Linked DNA regions of Notamacropus eugenii. The main gene of each other region encodes a partner of the protein of the gene in region 2 in a complex. Links are inferred from orthologs where the notes say so. Each region holds a gene or a part of one and is shown on either strand. Other genes may lie near its edges.

Evidence for each region.
Region 1: the proteins of TAPBPL (region 2) and major histocompatibility complex class I-related gene protein are in contact, whole or in part, in an NMR structure (PDB 7RNO), measured with the Homo sapiens proteins. The link is inferred for Notamacropus eugenii from reciprocal best matches to the Homo sapiens genes TAPBPL and MR1. Residues at the interface, in NP_060479.3 of Homo sapiens: His47, Arg48, Gly49, Ala50, Ala52, Ser53, Ser54, Leu129, Met131, Thr132, Glu133, Thr135, Arg228, Gln230, Lys232, Gly233, Arg234, Gly235, Thr280, Ile282, Gln293, Ile295, Gln297, Arg307, Leu308, Ser309, Ile320, Cys321, Asp322, Leu355; in NP_001372090.1 of Homo sapiens: Arg101, Arg104, His105, Asn107, Thr129, Gly130, Phe131, Leu132, Gln133, Ile143, Phe144, Asn145, Asp147, Thr148, Leu152, Ala153, Val154, His159, Thr160, Lys162, Gln163, Ala164, Ala167, Asn168, Gln169, His170, Thr213, Phe214, Pro215, Asp248.

Annotation. Positions count from the first base shown.
Region 1 is NC_092873.1:464,526,720-464,534,403, forward strand, and holds the start of major histocompatibility complex class I-related gene protein, read right to left. Parts: upstream 3,009-7,684; 5' UTR 2,841-3,008; coding exon 2,786-2,840; intron 1-2,785. UniProt on the Homo sapiens protein: Antigen-presenting molecule specialized in displaying microbial pyrimidine-based metabolites to alpha-beta T cell receptors (TCR) on innate-type mucosal-associated invariant T (MAIT) cells.
Region 2 is NC_092874.1:488,668,127-488,675,727, forward strand, and holds the start of TAPBPL (tapasin-related protein), read right to left. Parts: upstream 3,017-7,601; 5' UTR 2,444-3,016; coding exon 2,386-2,443; intron 1,446-2,385; coding exon 1,212-1,445; intron 1,058-1,211; coding exon 788-1,057; intron 159-787; coding exon 1-158. UniProt on the Homo sapiens protein: Component of the antigen processing and presentation pathway, which binds to MHC class I coupled with beta2-microglobulin/B2M. Association between TAPBPR and MHC class I occurs in the absence of a functional peptide-loading complex (PLC).

The sequences.
Region 1 (7,684 bases), on a different chromosome or scaffold from region 2:
AGGTTTTGAACTCAGATTTTTCTGACACTAAGCCAAGCACTGTATCCACTGTACCACTTAGTTGCCTCAAAGCATGAGGAAACTTGATATGAGTTTGACCATATCTTCTTATGAACTCAGTATCTTATCTTCTTTTGGATATCATTCAATGTCAATTTGCACAGCTAGTAAATATGGGAATGGAGATTCAATCCCAGATCTCTTCTGCCTTTCCTGGGGATGACCCATCCTGCCGTTAGCTAATTTCCCTCTTGGTGTGCGTTTATCCTTCGTTGCCAAAGAAGACCACACCATCAGAGAAATAATGACATGACTTGCACTTGACTTTGTTTTGAGTGAAGAAGGGCTATGCATGTCACCAGTCTCACTTCTCCTCCAGAGCCATCTGAATCCAGTGACCAGATATTCATCAGGGTAACTGGAGATGGCCCAGGATGAGGCAGTTGGGGTTAAGTGACTTGCCCAAGGTCATACAGCTAATGAGTGTTAAGTGTCTGAGTGAGATATGAATTCAGGTCCTCCTGACTCCTGCACTGGTACTGTATCCACTGCACCACCTAGCTACCCACTCCACCTAGCTGCCCACTCCCTCTTGATATCTTTAAGCTATAGGAAAGGTAATAAATGCAAGGAGATGAAGGAGCCCCGAATCTTTTGCCATCCCTATCCAGCCAGCTGAAGAGTTAATTTTCCTCACCACTAAATGCAGTTTAAAGAAGCAATTCAAAAGGCAGTGAATGAATTTAGGAGACTCACATCCTAGGCATGGTTCTGCCACTAACCAGTCTAAGGCTTTTCTCCTGTGTTTCTTCATCTGTAAAATATTCAAGAAAGACCAAAGACCTCTAAAGCTCCTTCTCATAGTGAAATTCTATTTCATAACCCTAAACCTTAGCAATGAGAGGTGGCATGACAGAGTAGAGAGTCTAGGCCTAGGAGTTAGGAAGACCTGTGGCTTCAGTACACATGGGGCTCCTGTCACATGCTACCTTCTACATGAAGCCTTTCCTTTTTCCTTCAGCTGCTGGTACCCTCACCTTCTATCCTGTATTTAACTACTTTGTACTTATTTTACATTCTTCTGTATGCATCTGTTGTCTCCCCCAATCGAGTACAAACTTCTTGAGAGCAGCAATTATTTCATTTTTAGTCTTTGAATTCTCACCTCCTAATACAGCACTTTGCACACAGCTGATGCTTAATGTTTGTTGGATAATTCCTCTGTGCTTACTAAGGATACATGTGGAGTGTTGTATTTAGTTATGACCATATCAGTTTAAGAAGGATGTAATAAACTAGAGAGTCTCCAGAGAAGGGTAAACAGGATACTGAAGGGTCTTTAAGTTCATATCATAGGAGGATTGCTTGAAGGAATTTGGAATGTTGAGCCTACAGAGGATAAGACTCAGAGGCAGTTGATAACAGATAGCCATCTTCAGGTATGTGAAAGACTGTGAGGTGGAAGGATTAGACTTGTTCTATTTGGCTCTAAAGAAAAGAACCAGGAATAGTGAGCAGAAGCTACCAAAAAAAAAAAAATTCAAGCTTGGTGTTAGGAAATTTTTCTAACAATTAGAGCTGTCCCAAATGGAATGCCTGCAGAGGTACTCCTCTTTAGAGAGCTGTGTTCCTACTCCTTAGAAGTTTACAAGTGGAAGATGGATAACCATCTTCCATGGCTACAGCAACGTGATCATGATCACATGGAGAAGTTACAGCTTTTCAGCACTCCCACAAAACTCTTTAAGATCACATGTACAGATTGCTTTGAGATCAGTATCCATGGAGGCAGTTTCCAAACTTAGAATTTCCTAGAGGACTTTCCCTTGGAAATCACAGGTTGGAGCCATAAAAAGTCCCAGCAGACTTGGAGAACTAACTTCCAACTTGGTCCCTGAGATCTCTAACACCAGTTTGAAAGGCATTTAATTTTTTAGGGACAAGCTCAATCTGCCTTCCCTAAATCTGAAGCAAATCATGGATACTTCTGTGCTTTCTAGAATGTGCTCCCTTCCCCTCACCTCTTCCAGAGAAAAAGAAAGCAAATCTCTGCCTCCAAAAAATTCTTTTTCCTTTTGGTACAGACCAGTGATTTCCATTCCCATAAGAAGTGCTAGTGTGGAATCGGAAACTTTCCACCCATTCAGGTTCCCCAACTCATCTGAACCTTGGAGTGTTAAAATGGTCAAAAGAGTTTCCCATGATTACCTAGTCTGTATGGGTCAGAGGCAGAACTAGACCTGGGTTTCTTGACTCCGAGGTCAGTCCTCCTTTCACTTAAAATTTTCGCTGCTGCCTCTCACAGTGCTCCTAGCATCTCTGCGTGTTCTTGTTTCTCCCTGTGTCCTTTGGTCTAATCCAGATTGAAGTGAGAGGAAAATAATGAAGTGGGATGCTTCTTCCTGTCCCAACCCCAAATGCCAGCTACACAACCAAGCCAGAAGGGAAGATAAGAGAAGGAGCCAAGGGCAGGAAAGAAAGGCAGAAAGAAGGGGAGAAAAGGAAGCAAGGTGGGAGGGAGAAAGGTGTTGTGAAAGGCATTCTGGAGAGGATTTCACCCACTCGGAAGCAAAATGAAATTTAAATCCTCCCCCAAAAGAACTGAAAAACGGTTCCATTCCTCCCCCAAACACTGGGTAAACCAAAAATACCCTTACTTGGCACAGCTAGCCAGCCCACAATTTCATCACATGCCTTGAGAAGAAAACTTGTAGTTCCTGGACTGACCATTCCAGAGCTAGGGGGAAGGTGGGGGGTGAGGGAGAGGCTCACTTGGGGTACTCACTGGCATCGCCTCCTTGGGTGGCTGATGTCATGAGGAGATAAAGAAGGAAGATCATCTAGAGGGCTTAATTAACGCTTTCTCTCTCCAGACTCTCCGGCCCCACTCCCAGCAGCTTGTACCTCCTGAGTCCTGACACGCCTCCACCCACTGGGGAAAATGACGAACTGAAAATTCTTCCAATAGGAAGGGAGAGTCTAAGTAGATTATAGAAACAAAAAATGAAACCTGACTAGCAGCTACCACTAGAACTACAGGAAGCAAAGAAAATCCCTCAATTCTAAGCCAAATTGACCATGATTTTGGCTTAGCTTGCCTCTCCTATGTTCCATGAGATTGGTGTATCTTTTTCTAACATGTACCCCTCTTTCATCATCCTTAGAGCCTAAAAGTGTATTCCAAAGACAGCTCTGCGTAAATTGTGCCTAGGAGTTGTGGTATTCATTCTCCTTTCCCATCACAACAGGATCCAAGGAGAAGAGTTCACACAAATCACCCAACGTTCTGAAATAAGAAAGATAGTATGAGAGATTCATAACCTATGGCATGAGTGTCAAAGAAAATGCAGGAAATGATTCCAAGTAGTACCCATTGCTTGACCAGTTTTTCTTTTTGTTTTGCTCAATCATTTTCAGTCATGTTCAACCCTGTTGAGATATTGGAGTGGTTTACCTTTTCCTTCTTCCGCTTATTTAACAGATGAGGAAACTGAGGCAAACAGGGTTAAGTGACTTGCCCAGGGTCATAGAGCTAGTAAGTGTCTGAGGCTGAATTTGAACTCATGAAGATGAGTGTTCCAACTCCAGGCCTGAAACTCTATCCACTGCCCACTTGACCAATTAGCAAGGTGTAAAAATCCACTTAGGTCAGCTAGGAACTAAAGTATCACATAATGACAGCTCTAATTGTATAAGTTTTTCCTGATATTAAATCTAAATTTGCTTTATAAAAACTTCCATTCATTGTTCCTGGTTCTGCTCTCCCAATCTAAATGTATTTTTATTCTATGGGAAAGTCCTTCTAATACTTGAAGACAGCTATCGTATCTCACTACCACAACCGTCTTTTCTTCTCCAGTATAAACCTCCTCAGTTCTTTCAACCAATCCTTCTATTATACAAAATCAAGACCCTTCACTATTCAGGCTACCTTCTTCTGAACATGCTTCAGACGACCAAGATCCTTCCTAAATCATAGTTCCCGGAGCCTCTGGATGTGGTCTATTCAGGCAGAGATATAGGGGACCAATGACTCCTCCTCCTTAGAAGTTATACCTCTCTTAACATTGTCCAGTATAACACGTTTTGGTTTGGTTTAGTTATCAATTCATGCCATTGGCTCAGTTGCATTTTCTTCAGGAAATGAGAGGAAGGAAGAGAACAATGCTTGGGTTTTAGTCCTGGGGGCAGAGGTATATATCTAGTCAGAGTAAAAGAAGAGAGTTTTTCCCCCTTTTGTGAATACAAGATTGATCCTAGACAGGGAATTATAAAGCAAATGAATTTTGCTTGGCCCTCTACCAACTCTCCTACAAAATCAGCCTCTACCTTGTGCTACAAGTATTCAATGACCTCATATCATGCCTCAGTTTCCTCATTTGTCAAATGAAGGCATTGGATGAGATGGCCCTTGAGGTATCTTCCATCTCTAGGTCTATGACTCTGATTCTTAAATCCCAACACTTTAGCATCCTACACATACCTACCTTCCAAACTGGCCCCTTCTCTTCCTGGCCCCCATTAAAGCTCTAATCCCCTAAGTGTTAAAGGTCAAAAGTGAATTCAAGAGGTGTTTCTCTTACGTGCATTAATCTAAGGGAGGGAAGTCTTCGTGATCTTAGCGATCACCTTATCCTGATCACTACAATCATCACTTTTCAGGTGGTAGAGGCTTCTCCCTTTAGCAACTGGTTAAGTCTTAGTTAAGGCTGGTGATCTTGCACAGCCCTCCCTCACTCAAAACAAAGTCAAGTACAAGTCATGTCATTATTTCTCTGATGTCATGGTCCTCTTCGAAAACGAAGGATGAGCACAAGTCTTTGTTAAGAATGAAACTAGGGAACTTTAGAGGCAGTTGGGTGGCCTAGTGGATACAGCACAGAGCTTAGAATCAGAAAGACCGCCTTTGTAAGTTCAAATCTGACCTCAGTCACTGCCTAGTTGTATGACCCTGAGCAAGTTACTTAACCCTGTTTGCCTCAGTTCCTCATCTGTAAAATGCGCTGGAGAAGGAAATAGCTAAGCCACTCTAGTATCTTTGCCAAGAAAACACCAATTGGGATCATGAAAAGCCAGACACAAGGAAACTTTGGAACAGGACAATGTTTCCTTGCCATTAAGCCTTTTCTTCAAGGGAAAACTCATTAGATTCTCACTCAACTGAGAAACAGGATTTTTTAGACCAATATTGAGAAAAAGCATGATTTATTATTTTAAAAGGAAGGAGTAAGTACGCTTCCACAGACTTGTTCATCTGATCCAACTGAGCAACAGGACAAAGAACTCTACAGCAGGTCTTGGGGGTGGGGGTGAAAGGGAGCATCAAGCATCTTGAAATTGTGGATTTGAGATTCCTATTCTAAAAGTTCTAGATTTTCTCACACCTCCAGCCCATATTCCCCTCCTTTCTCTGTGTCTCCCTTCAGGAAACCTGCTAGTTTTGCCCCATTTTACTCCCTCTACTGGTGGGTTAATGTAGACATTCAGCATCTTGAAACTTGAGTAAAGAAAGACTGGACAACCCTCATTTCAGGGCAATTTGATGGTGGTTTAACGGGTTTAGGACCAGACTCAAACAGGACTTTCCAGTCAAACTCCAGTGAGGCCTCAGAAAAGAACTCTGAGTACAAGCTACTTTACTCATGCCTCCTGGTTAGGAGCAGGTCTCATACAAGTCACAGGGGCTAAGCACATGGATGGGAGAGAGAAGTCCTTCAAGATACTCTTAGAGACATCATTTTGAAGAATGCTGGAATGACAGTGTAAGTAATAGCCAGCAGGCTTAGACTGCCTGGCTGGGTCTCATATGCATTCCTATTGGCATTTTCTGACAGAAGAGGCAGACCTACTGTCCCACCCAGAGAACAACAATTGTTGGTTGACTTGTTTTCTTTTGGTGAATGGGGTGCTGAAGCAGCATGTGGGGCTTCAGATGCGTCAGCACTGTTTAGAAGCCTTCCCTTTTTTTTTTTGGCTACTGACTTCCTAGGCTTCATTCAACCACTCCCACTCCCTACCCCAGCAGCCTCAACCACCCAGCCATTGGGGCAATTCTCTAGACAAACATTAAGATGTCCATATGACAATGATGTTTCAGTTTCCTTGGCCCTGGACAGACTTGGAGAGGCCTGATTAATAATTATCGGAGAAAAGAACATGGAACTCATGAACTTGGAATGACCAGATGAAGACCTGGCAGCCCACTTTTGAAGAGCCCTTAACCTACTTTTCAAGAGCTCTTTGCTCATAGCCCTCTCCAATACTCTTTTACTTAGAAACTGTTGAAGAAACAGAAGCACCATGTTTCTGTGTCACTTGAGGCAGCCCTCTGGGTGTGGGGGGAGTGGGGATAGAGGAGGGGCAAGACTCATTTCTCCATTTGGGGACATTTGCATCATTCTCCTCCTCAGCAGTCTACTGAAGCTAGGCAGGAAAGATCCAAGTCTAGCTTTGGCCTATTAGAGTTGTCTGAATAAACCAGTGCAAGCTGTATAGCTGATCACCAGTCTCTCTTTGTCACACACTCATCAAACCTGAATGTCTGTGTATCCTCCAAATTGGGGAGCAGGGTCCTTTTGTTACATGTATTTGTGACTTTCTAGAAACTCTCCAGTCTCTTCTCTAAATAGGAATTATAGCAGTGTATGCTATAACCATACTGTGTATACTTGCTAGTCCTCCATTCTACATTCAAGAAGAGACCCTAGTTCTAAAAACCTAGTGGCACTTCCTGAGTGGGACCAGATTCAGAATTCTAGAGCAATTCAAGTGCTATAAGGCTCTTTCTTTGGTTAGTAAGAGGTACCTTTTATCCCCATTTTCCAGATGAAGAAATTGAGGCTAAGAGAAGTGATGTGCCTTGGCCAAGATCCCACAGATACTAAGTATAGGAGCCAGAAGGCGAACCAATGCCCAAGTCCGCTGCTCTTTCCACAACCATGCAGCTTCTTCCAAAAGTGGGTTGCCTTCTGTTCTAGGGGTCTCTCAATACAGCAGGGTAAGAAAACCAAAAGTCCCCAAATTTCACTTTCACCTTCAATTCACTTCAAAGTCCTAATATGAGGGGAGGGAGAATACTGTAAACATTCCTTTAATTCTTTTCTTACTTCTCTCTTCCACCTCCAATCCCAGAACTTCCTCTACCAATACAGGTGAGCCTATACTCAAAGCTTCTTTGGGCTCTGGGAGGGGAAGGGACTTCCCCTGAGGCACAGAGCCCTGAAGTCTATCTCTCTACCATACCTTACTGCTCCTATTAGTAATTAGGATGGTGTATTTAAAGATCTGAAATATTTGTTTCTATCATTATAATATCATGATGAGCACTGAAATGTTAAAGATCCCTTTGGAGCTCCTCCTCTCAATGAAGGGCCACCCTAGCTAGGATGATAAATAGGCCAAAGCAGTGGACAGTCTGGAGGTAGTTCTGGAATACAAACAGAAGCAAGCAGCCCCTCAACGGCAGCTTAAGCAGAAGCTTATTTTTTATGATTTTAAAAAATATTTTTATATGATTGATTCACAAAATAATAACCAATAGACTCATAGACAGGTTTTATGTTAATATAGAACTAGGAACTCTTAATTTTTTATCAGATTCTTTTAATCTAATTTGTAAGTGTCATTAGCAGCATACTGTATTCTCCCATGAGGTCAAGAGGTGGAACAGGAGAAGACAGAGGAA
Region 2 (7,601 bases):
CCAGGCATACACCCTCTGGCCCTGGCCTTGGTGCTGCCGCCTCCATTCTAGGTGAAATGGGCCCAATCCAGGGGCGATGGAGAAGCCACAGAGCAAGGAGACAGAGGCACCGAGGGAAGACTGCACATCTGGAGTCTGTGTCATCACCTGGAACTCCACTGTGGGAGGAGAAAAAGGGATCTATGAGTGTCTATGGGCCACAACCTCCAGAGGGCTGGGGGGAGGGGAGGCCCTGTCTAGGTTTGCCTATAAGGGTGGGTGGGAAGGGGGGCCTGGATCCCTGTCTGGGGAGCCTGGGGGTGGGGAGGGGGAGGGGAAGCTGGGGTCCCTGTCAGTGAGGGTGAGGAGGGTCTCAAATTCAGCACCAAAGGGAGGAAATGAGCAGGTACTGCAGAAGAATAAAGTCAAGGAGGCCTGAAGGAGACCCTGGCCTCCCGCTGTGGACCTGCTGGGGACAGTGGCCTGCTGGTCCAGTCTGACCTAGGGGATTTCTGGTGTGGAGGCAGGGGCCTGACGAGGTGCACACTGGCCCTTGGGGTGTTTTGTCCTGGATCATTGACCAAGGGAAGCTTGAGATTCTGCTAATCAAATGCCCACAGTGAAGGCCTAAAAAGGCACAGAGTCCACCTGAGACAGGACCAACATGGGTGCTGAGTTGGAGGTTTTCAGAACAGCATCTGGGTAAGCCAAGGCCCAGCCTACACTGGATCCCATGAGGGGAGGGGAAGTCGCCATGCCCCTGAGGGAGGTGACAAGTGAAATCCAGTACAAACTAAAGCTTCCTCACCTGATGCCAGCATTGTCCCCCGGGGCGTCAGGGGCAGATTCAGCTGTGGATGCAAGGGAGCTCCCTTCTCTGTCCCTCCAAGGGTCTTTATCACCATGGAGACACTGAAGCCTCCCCCAGACACCTGAACAGTGCTGATGAAATAGGCCACGTCCTGGGAACTGGCCTCCTCTCCAGCCTGGTTGAGGGGAGTGAGCTCACAGGTCACCACCTTGTCTTGGCAGGTGGCGTGAAGCAAGACCTCAGCGTGAGGAAGCTGCACCTGGTCCACTGCGAGGGAGGAAGAACAAGATGCGGTTACTGGAGCAGGCCTGGGCTGGGAGCCTGAGCAGGACTTGGCTGAGGCACAGACAGGGGCTAAGGAGGCAGGCTGGTAGGCATTTAGGAATGGGGCAGAGTGGGTCCGCAGTCCCCAAGTTCTCACCAGCCGCCTCAAAAGCAATGGGGTTGTCTTCCTTGCCCTCAGGAACCCCTGGGAAGTCTGTGAAGCTGTCCAGTGTGCCATCATCCAGAACCGGCACTTGCTTCAGCACCAGGGTGGCCTGAGCCACATTCAGTGGCTTGGCAGTGATGCCCCAGCCATGCCCATCCTCTTTGGCCAAGACACAGTCCAGGATCAGATCAACTCCTCTGCGGGGCCCTCCAGACTCATCCCGCTCTGCAGAGGAAAAGAAAAGGTGAGTATCCTCCAAGCTGTCCCAGGGCTCCCCAAACCAGACCGCCGGCCCCCATTAAGTGTCTAGAGGGCTGCTCCCCAGCTCCACAAACTCTAGTGGTTCCCTATCACCTCTAGGGTCAGATGCAGGGCATCTGAAGCCCTGCCCCCTCTCACCCCTTCCCGTCTTCTCAGTCTCCCATTTTACTCAGCTTCTTCACTCTATTGACTAGGCTTCTCTACCTGTGCATAGTCACTCGTCTCCCACCGGCTCACATCCCTTCTCATCTCCGTCTTTTTCCTACAAAACAGCCTGAATCGCGACTGCTACCTGAGGTCTTTTCTAACCTAGCCGCTGGTGCCCGCAGACCACCCCCATCATCTCGAATTGATCACATATGTACAACTCGTGTTGGCTCCCAAAGTGAAATGGGCATTCCTTCAGGGTAGGCCCTGGTTCGCTTTTGTCTCTGTGCTCCCAGGGCACACCCCTAACTCCCATCCAGCGTTGGGGTTCATCACTAGGGGCAGATCCAGACTTCGGAGTGGGGGGTCACAGGGCTGAGGAAAGGGGGAGCTTGGAGAAAGGGTCCTTGCCAAGGCTTGGGACCTGGAGGCTCTCCTCCGCCATTCACCCTCCAGCTGCGCGCAGCCATTTCCACCAGTACCTGTGGCCTTGCTGCCTCCCCGGCCCCTCCGCCCCGCTGGAGCCAATTCACCCAGCCCTGCCCTAGGCCCCAGGCACCTGAAGGCGGCCCCCCCCTCGCCTGCCCCGCATCGCACCCAACCTCCCAGGAGCTCGCGTGCGCAGCCACGCACACAGACACACACAGGCACTCACACTCACGCACACACACGCGTGTCCCGCACACTGCCTAGCACAGCCTCCCGCGCCCCTGTCCTCCCCTGCCCTTCCCCACCAACTCCCAGTAGCGGAGCTCACCCGCCCAGGTGGCCACCGCCCAGCAGAGGAGAAGGGCGCGCAGGCCCGGGGCGCCCATGGGTTCCGGGGGGGGTCGGCTCCTGGCAGGCAGACCCCGGATGTCTAGCAGTGTGGCCGATCGGTCCTTAGCCCTCTGGGTCTGCGCATCGGCCTCTCGTCCGTCCGTGTCCGGCCCGCGGCCCCCTGCTGCGGCCCTCTCCGCAGGCAGCTCTCCCTCGCCCGCCCGAACGCAGTTTCCCTTTCACTTTCGCTCTGCTCCGCGACAAGAGGCTGCAGCCTGGGGGAGGAACAGAAGTGGGCAGAGGGTGCTGGCGCCCCGCTCCTCCTGCCTGTCTCCCCACTTCGCCCATCACTGTGTGGAAGGAAGGGCTTAGGAGGGAGAGCTCGCCCGGTTCCTGCGCCCCGACCGGCCGGCTGCGGGGATGGAGTGACCGGGCGGGCCGGCGGCTAGCGAGGGAGCGCTGGGCTGGGTCCTGGAGAATGACAAGGACAAAGCTCTGGGGACCCTTCCTGGGGTTGTCCAGATGAGTGACCCCAGAAGCACAAGGCCCGATCCCCCTCAATCCCCGGAGAACGGCCCCGAGGCGCCGCCAGTCCTTGGCCTCCTCCTGGACCTTCTCCTTTAGTTTCTGCAGCCAAATGTCTATTTGGGAGAGGGGGAGGGAGTAGCGCTTAGGCTGGATGTAAGGAAAACCTTCTTGGCCCTGGCAACAAAAGTGGGCTGGACCAGGCTGAGCTGGGCCTGTCTGGGCCGGCCTGGCCCTGGGTAGAAAGGTTCTCAGTAATGAGTCTTTGGGGGGATGAGTTGAAGGAACTATTCGGGGGATCCTTTCCAGGGAGGAAATTCAGGATTTATGGGAACCCCAGAAGGCAAAATCTTCTTGTAGTTGAGGAAAGGAAGGGCACAGAGCCCAGTGGCCCTGGCAGCTGCCCAAAGTCTGCCCTGGCTTCTGTACTTTGGGCATGGCCTGCTCCTGAACCACCCTGGGAGGCACAGCAGGACAGTTTCCCTCATCTGCAGTGGGAGAGAGAAAAGGCTCCAGGAAGGTGATGGAAGAGGTAGTAGAGGCAGTGGAGGGAGGGAAAGTAAAGGAACAGGACCAAGAGACCACGGTAAGGTGTCAGAGAGGAAAGAGCTGGAGGAGAAAATGAAAGGAAGGGGAAGAAAAGAAGGGAGCTAGCAGCAAGAGAGGGGCAAGGGGAGACAGGAGGCAGAAGGTGGGTAGGTAGGAGTTGGGATGGAGAAAGGGGGGAGAGCCAGAAGGCAAACCAGGGAACAAGCTTTGGAACAAGACCTGTCCCAGGTGGCACCCCAGGGCCCAGGAAGGGAAAGTCCCATTGGCCTACCCATCGATACCAACTAGAAAGTGAGTGAGGCAGACCCTGTGGGGAGGGAGCACTCTGCCTCCTCCAACCCCATCCGGTGCCTTGAGCTCTTTTTTGAGGGCCACTGTTTAAAGACATAGAAAGAGAGAGTATCCCGAGGTAAGTGCCTTCCATGTGGCAGACCCTATGCCAACTGCAGAGGATACAAAAGAGGCAAAGACAGTGCCCTCCCTGGAGGACCTCACAGACTAATGAGGAAGACAACATGCGAACAGGCCTGGAGTGGTTGCCCCCTGAAGGAGGGACCATGCCAAGGTCAAGTTAGGCTCAGCCTCAGGAACAATTTCCTAACCCTTTGGGCTTTCCAAGAGAGGAATGGGCTGCTTCAGGAGGTGGCTGATTCCCCGCAATGTATGTATTAAAGGTGGATGGGACCTAAAAGGACATTGAGTCTAGACCCCATTTTACAGGTTAGGAAACTGCAGCTCAGAGACATGAAAGGATTTACTTAGGGTCCCACAGCAAGTCAGCCTCAAAGGCAGGATTGGAACTCATTTCTGTCTTCTGTGCCAAAGCCGGGTGATGGAGCACAATTAGAAGAACAAATCATCTAACCCTGTAAAGATGACAACCTGGGGAGCCCCTGGCATGAGGGGCCAGCTGCCTCCCTCAATCTGGCCATGGTGGGCTCTCCAAAGTCACCTCCCTGGTAGCAGCCCAGTATCAACAGGCAGCAGCCCCTGTGAGATGCCTTGTTATTCTAGGCCTTGTCCATCACATGTGTGGTCAGCTGTAGAAAACATCTCCTGGGCCCTGGACACCCAGGCTGTCCAGGAAGGGACCTGAACACCCAAGGCCTCCATCCTACAGCTCATCTCCACAGCCTCTGGCTCTTTGTCCAGGCCCAGGTGATCCTTAGCCCAGACTAAGCTCAAAACTGCATCTAGTGTGACCTCTTTCAGAAGATGATGGCCCTCAGGATGCAGAAGAGGGTGTGGCCCCTTTATACGATGGTCAGCCACTGAGCCATCAGGCCCAAGGGCATGCAGACCCCCACCCACCCACCCTCCTGGCCTGGCTGAGATTCCATGGGGGGCTACTCACAGGAACCAAGACATAAAGTCAGGCATCCATTGAGAGCAGCAGGGGATCTCAGGCCCACAAACCGAGGCCACCTCCAGGCAGGTGTTCAGAGTGTGTTCAGACTGGCCACCTTTGCTCTGAGCCACCAGCCTCCTCAAGAGGAGACATCATTTTCAAGGCATCTGCCAATTCCTTGTACTTTAAAGGACCTGTGAGAAGATGCTCAGGGCAGCCAGAGAATCTCATGACCTTCAGCTCTTGGCAAGGGAGCTCCCCTTCTGTGATGCCCCACCAGACGAGCAAATCCCTGCTCAATCCCTGCTAGCCCTGAGGAAGGTTTCCCTACCAAATGTCAGTCAAGGCTGCTTCTGAGAAAGGCAGGCAGGCACTGACAGGCATTGATGGAAGACTGCTATTCTTAAGCTCTCCATTCTGCTGAAAAGTTGAGGGAGAGAGCAAGATGGAAAGCAAGTTCCCACTCTAATTGTCTAGTAGATGAGAGAGAGCATGGAGGCTGGCCCAGGTCAGGGAATTGCCTCAGCAGAAGAGAGACATCTTGTCTGGAGTTAACCAAGTCCCCAGAAAGGTCATGGTGCTTCTGTGCTTCTCTCACTGATGGGGACAACTTTTCTAAAGAAAGAGTCACCCAAAAAAATGACCATCATAACAGCTGACCGACACTGGGCTTTAAGCCCCCGAAGCACCTTTCAAACTTTTTTCCACTCTGGAAGGAAGGAACGTTATTATGTCTATTTTACAATGAGAAACTGAACCTCAGGGACATTAAGTGATTAGTCCAGGGTCCCACAGAGTCAGGTTCCAACTCAGTTTTCCAGACTCTGTCCACTGCTTGTTCAACTCTGCCTCGTCTTTATGACATATACTCTGTGTGTCCCTTTCTCTCTGGAATTCTCATCGGTTACTTAGTTATGTGGAAAAGCCACACAGAGCTCAAGCCTCCATCAAGTCCAGCCACAGCCATAAGCCCTCTGGCAATGGCTATAACTGAGAGGAAACAGCAAAGGAAATGACAGGGGAAAATCAGATAATGGAATTATCACTTCCCATTCAAAATCACTCAGCCCCCGAGCACAAATGAGTGCAGTCTCCCACAGTCATTGTGCTCTCTCCTCTCCTCATTTCCTCCTGCTTCCTGCTGGGTTAACTGTATTTCTGTACTCAATAGGAGTGGGGGAGGGGGAGTGTGCTCAGTGTGTGATGTGTAGTATGTGTGTTCTCTGTGTGTATGTGCTCTGTGTGGTGTGTGTGTGTGTGTGTGTGTGTGTGTGTATGTGGTGTGGGATGTGTATTCTACCCTCCTTCAATGGTCCAAAGAGAGGGAGAACTCAGGCTTAAGGGCTATTTACTTTCTGTCTCCAGGTACCTGCGTCTGACTGAGGCTCGTTGTTTGCCCGCTCCGCTCCTGAGGCTCCCTGGCATAGTCCAGGAATTCCCCAGCCAATGATCCTATATCTTCCCTTGTTGAGGCTTGGAAGCTCACTGACCTGAGGCCACCACCACTTCACTATATGTTCAAGCTGCCATCCACCAAAGCAAGGTCGGGACCGCTGTTGCTTCAGAGAAGAATCATCAACCTTTTGGAGCAAAAGCACCTAGTGGAAGATTCCCTGAGGTGATTCTACATAGGTTCAGTTCTGTTAGTAGTAGACCTCATGACCCCAGCTTGCTGACACCCAAAAGACTGCTATGGCAGTGGTGAGGCTTCCAGGACCACCCTTCCTAACATGACCACTCTTAGTTTAGTTATGGCACCTGGATTCCATTTACCACTTCCCCATATAATGTTGTACCATTTAACAACATTAGTTTAATTGTTGTTCTTCTAATATAGCAGAAGCTCTTTGTTCCACAACCAAAGAATTAAAACACTCTTGGATGAACTGAGCAATATCAATTTTAACTCTAAAGTAACAACTTGAAGATATCAAGAAATTCCATCTAAATAGACACATGGCTTCCAGGTCCCTCTTGGAGAGGTAGTTCAACTTGGCAAAGTTGCTTTTATTGGGAGCCCAAATACAAGACACCACATGGCTTCATGAATCCTTGGCCAGTTCTTGCTATACCCTTAAAGGATGACCTTAAAGAAACTGACCACCATGAAGCTCATTGCAGCCTCTGCTTCAACACTGAAGATGAGGAGGCAAATCAATCCTACAAAGACCTCAAGATCCTCCAATTCAACTCTGATTCTCTGATTATTCTCTGATATTTGGTGACCTGGGCACAGGGAGGATGACCAGAAAGTCTGTTGGAAAAATGTTTCAAGTATAAAAAACAGACGAGACCACTTGTAGATCACTCAAAAGCTCTGCATTTAATCTACTATACAGAATAGAAGACAAATATTTTCTTTAAGGAGAGAGTTGGAAAGAAGGTGCTACACATCAGAGAAACCGAGTCTGACTATATAGTAACAAGTATCAGGTTACTAATATAAGAATCATCACAGAATCATCTCTCTAAGACTTCCCACTAATTAAAGCAAAGGTCAAAACGGACATCAAATTGGAATAATGGCAAAGCTGGGATGACAATGCAGTGACAAGAGCTTCACCAAATGACAGAATTTGAGAGTTGGGTGGGATATCAGTGCCCATCTGGTCCAACTCATACACAAAGGAATCCCACCAGATCACACCAGCAAACGATTATCCAGCCTCTGCTTGAAGACTCTGGAGGATGGAGGGGAACCCACCACCTTCTAAGCAGCCTGTTCTGCTTCAGGTCAGCTTTGTCACTTCCTTCAGCCAAGCCTCATATGTCAACCTGATCAAACCATCAAT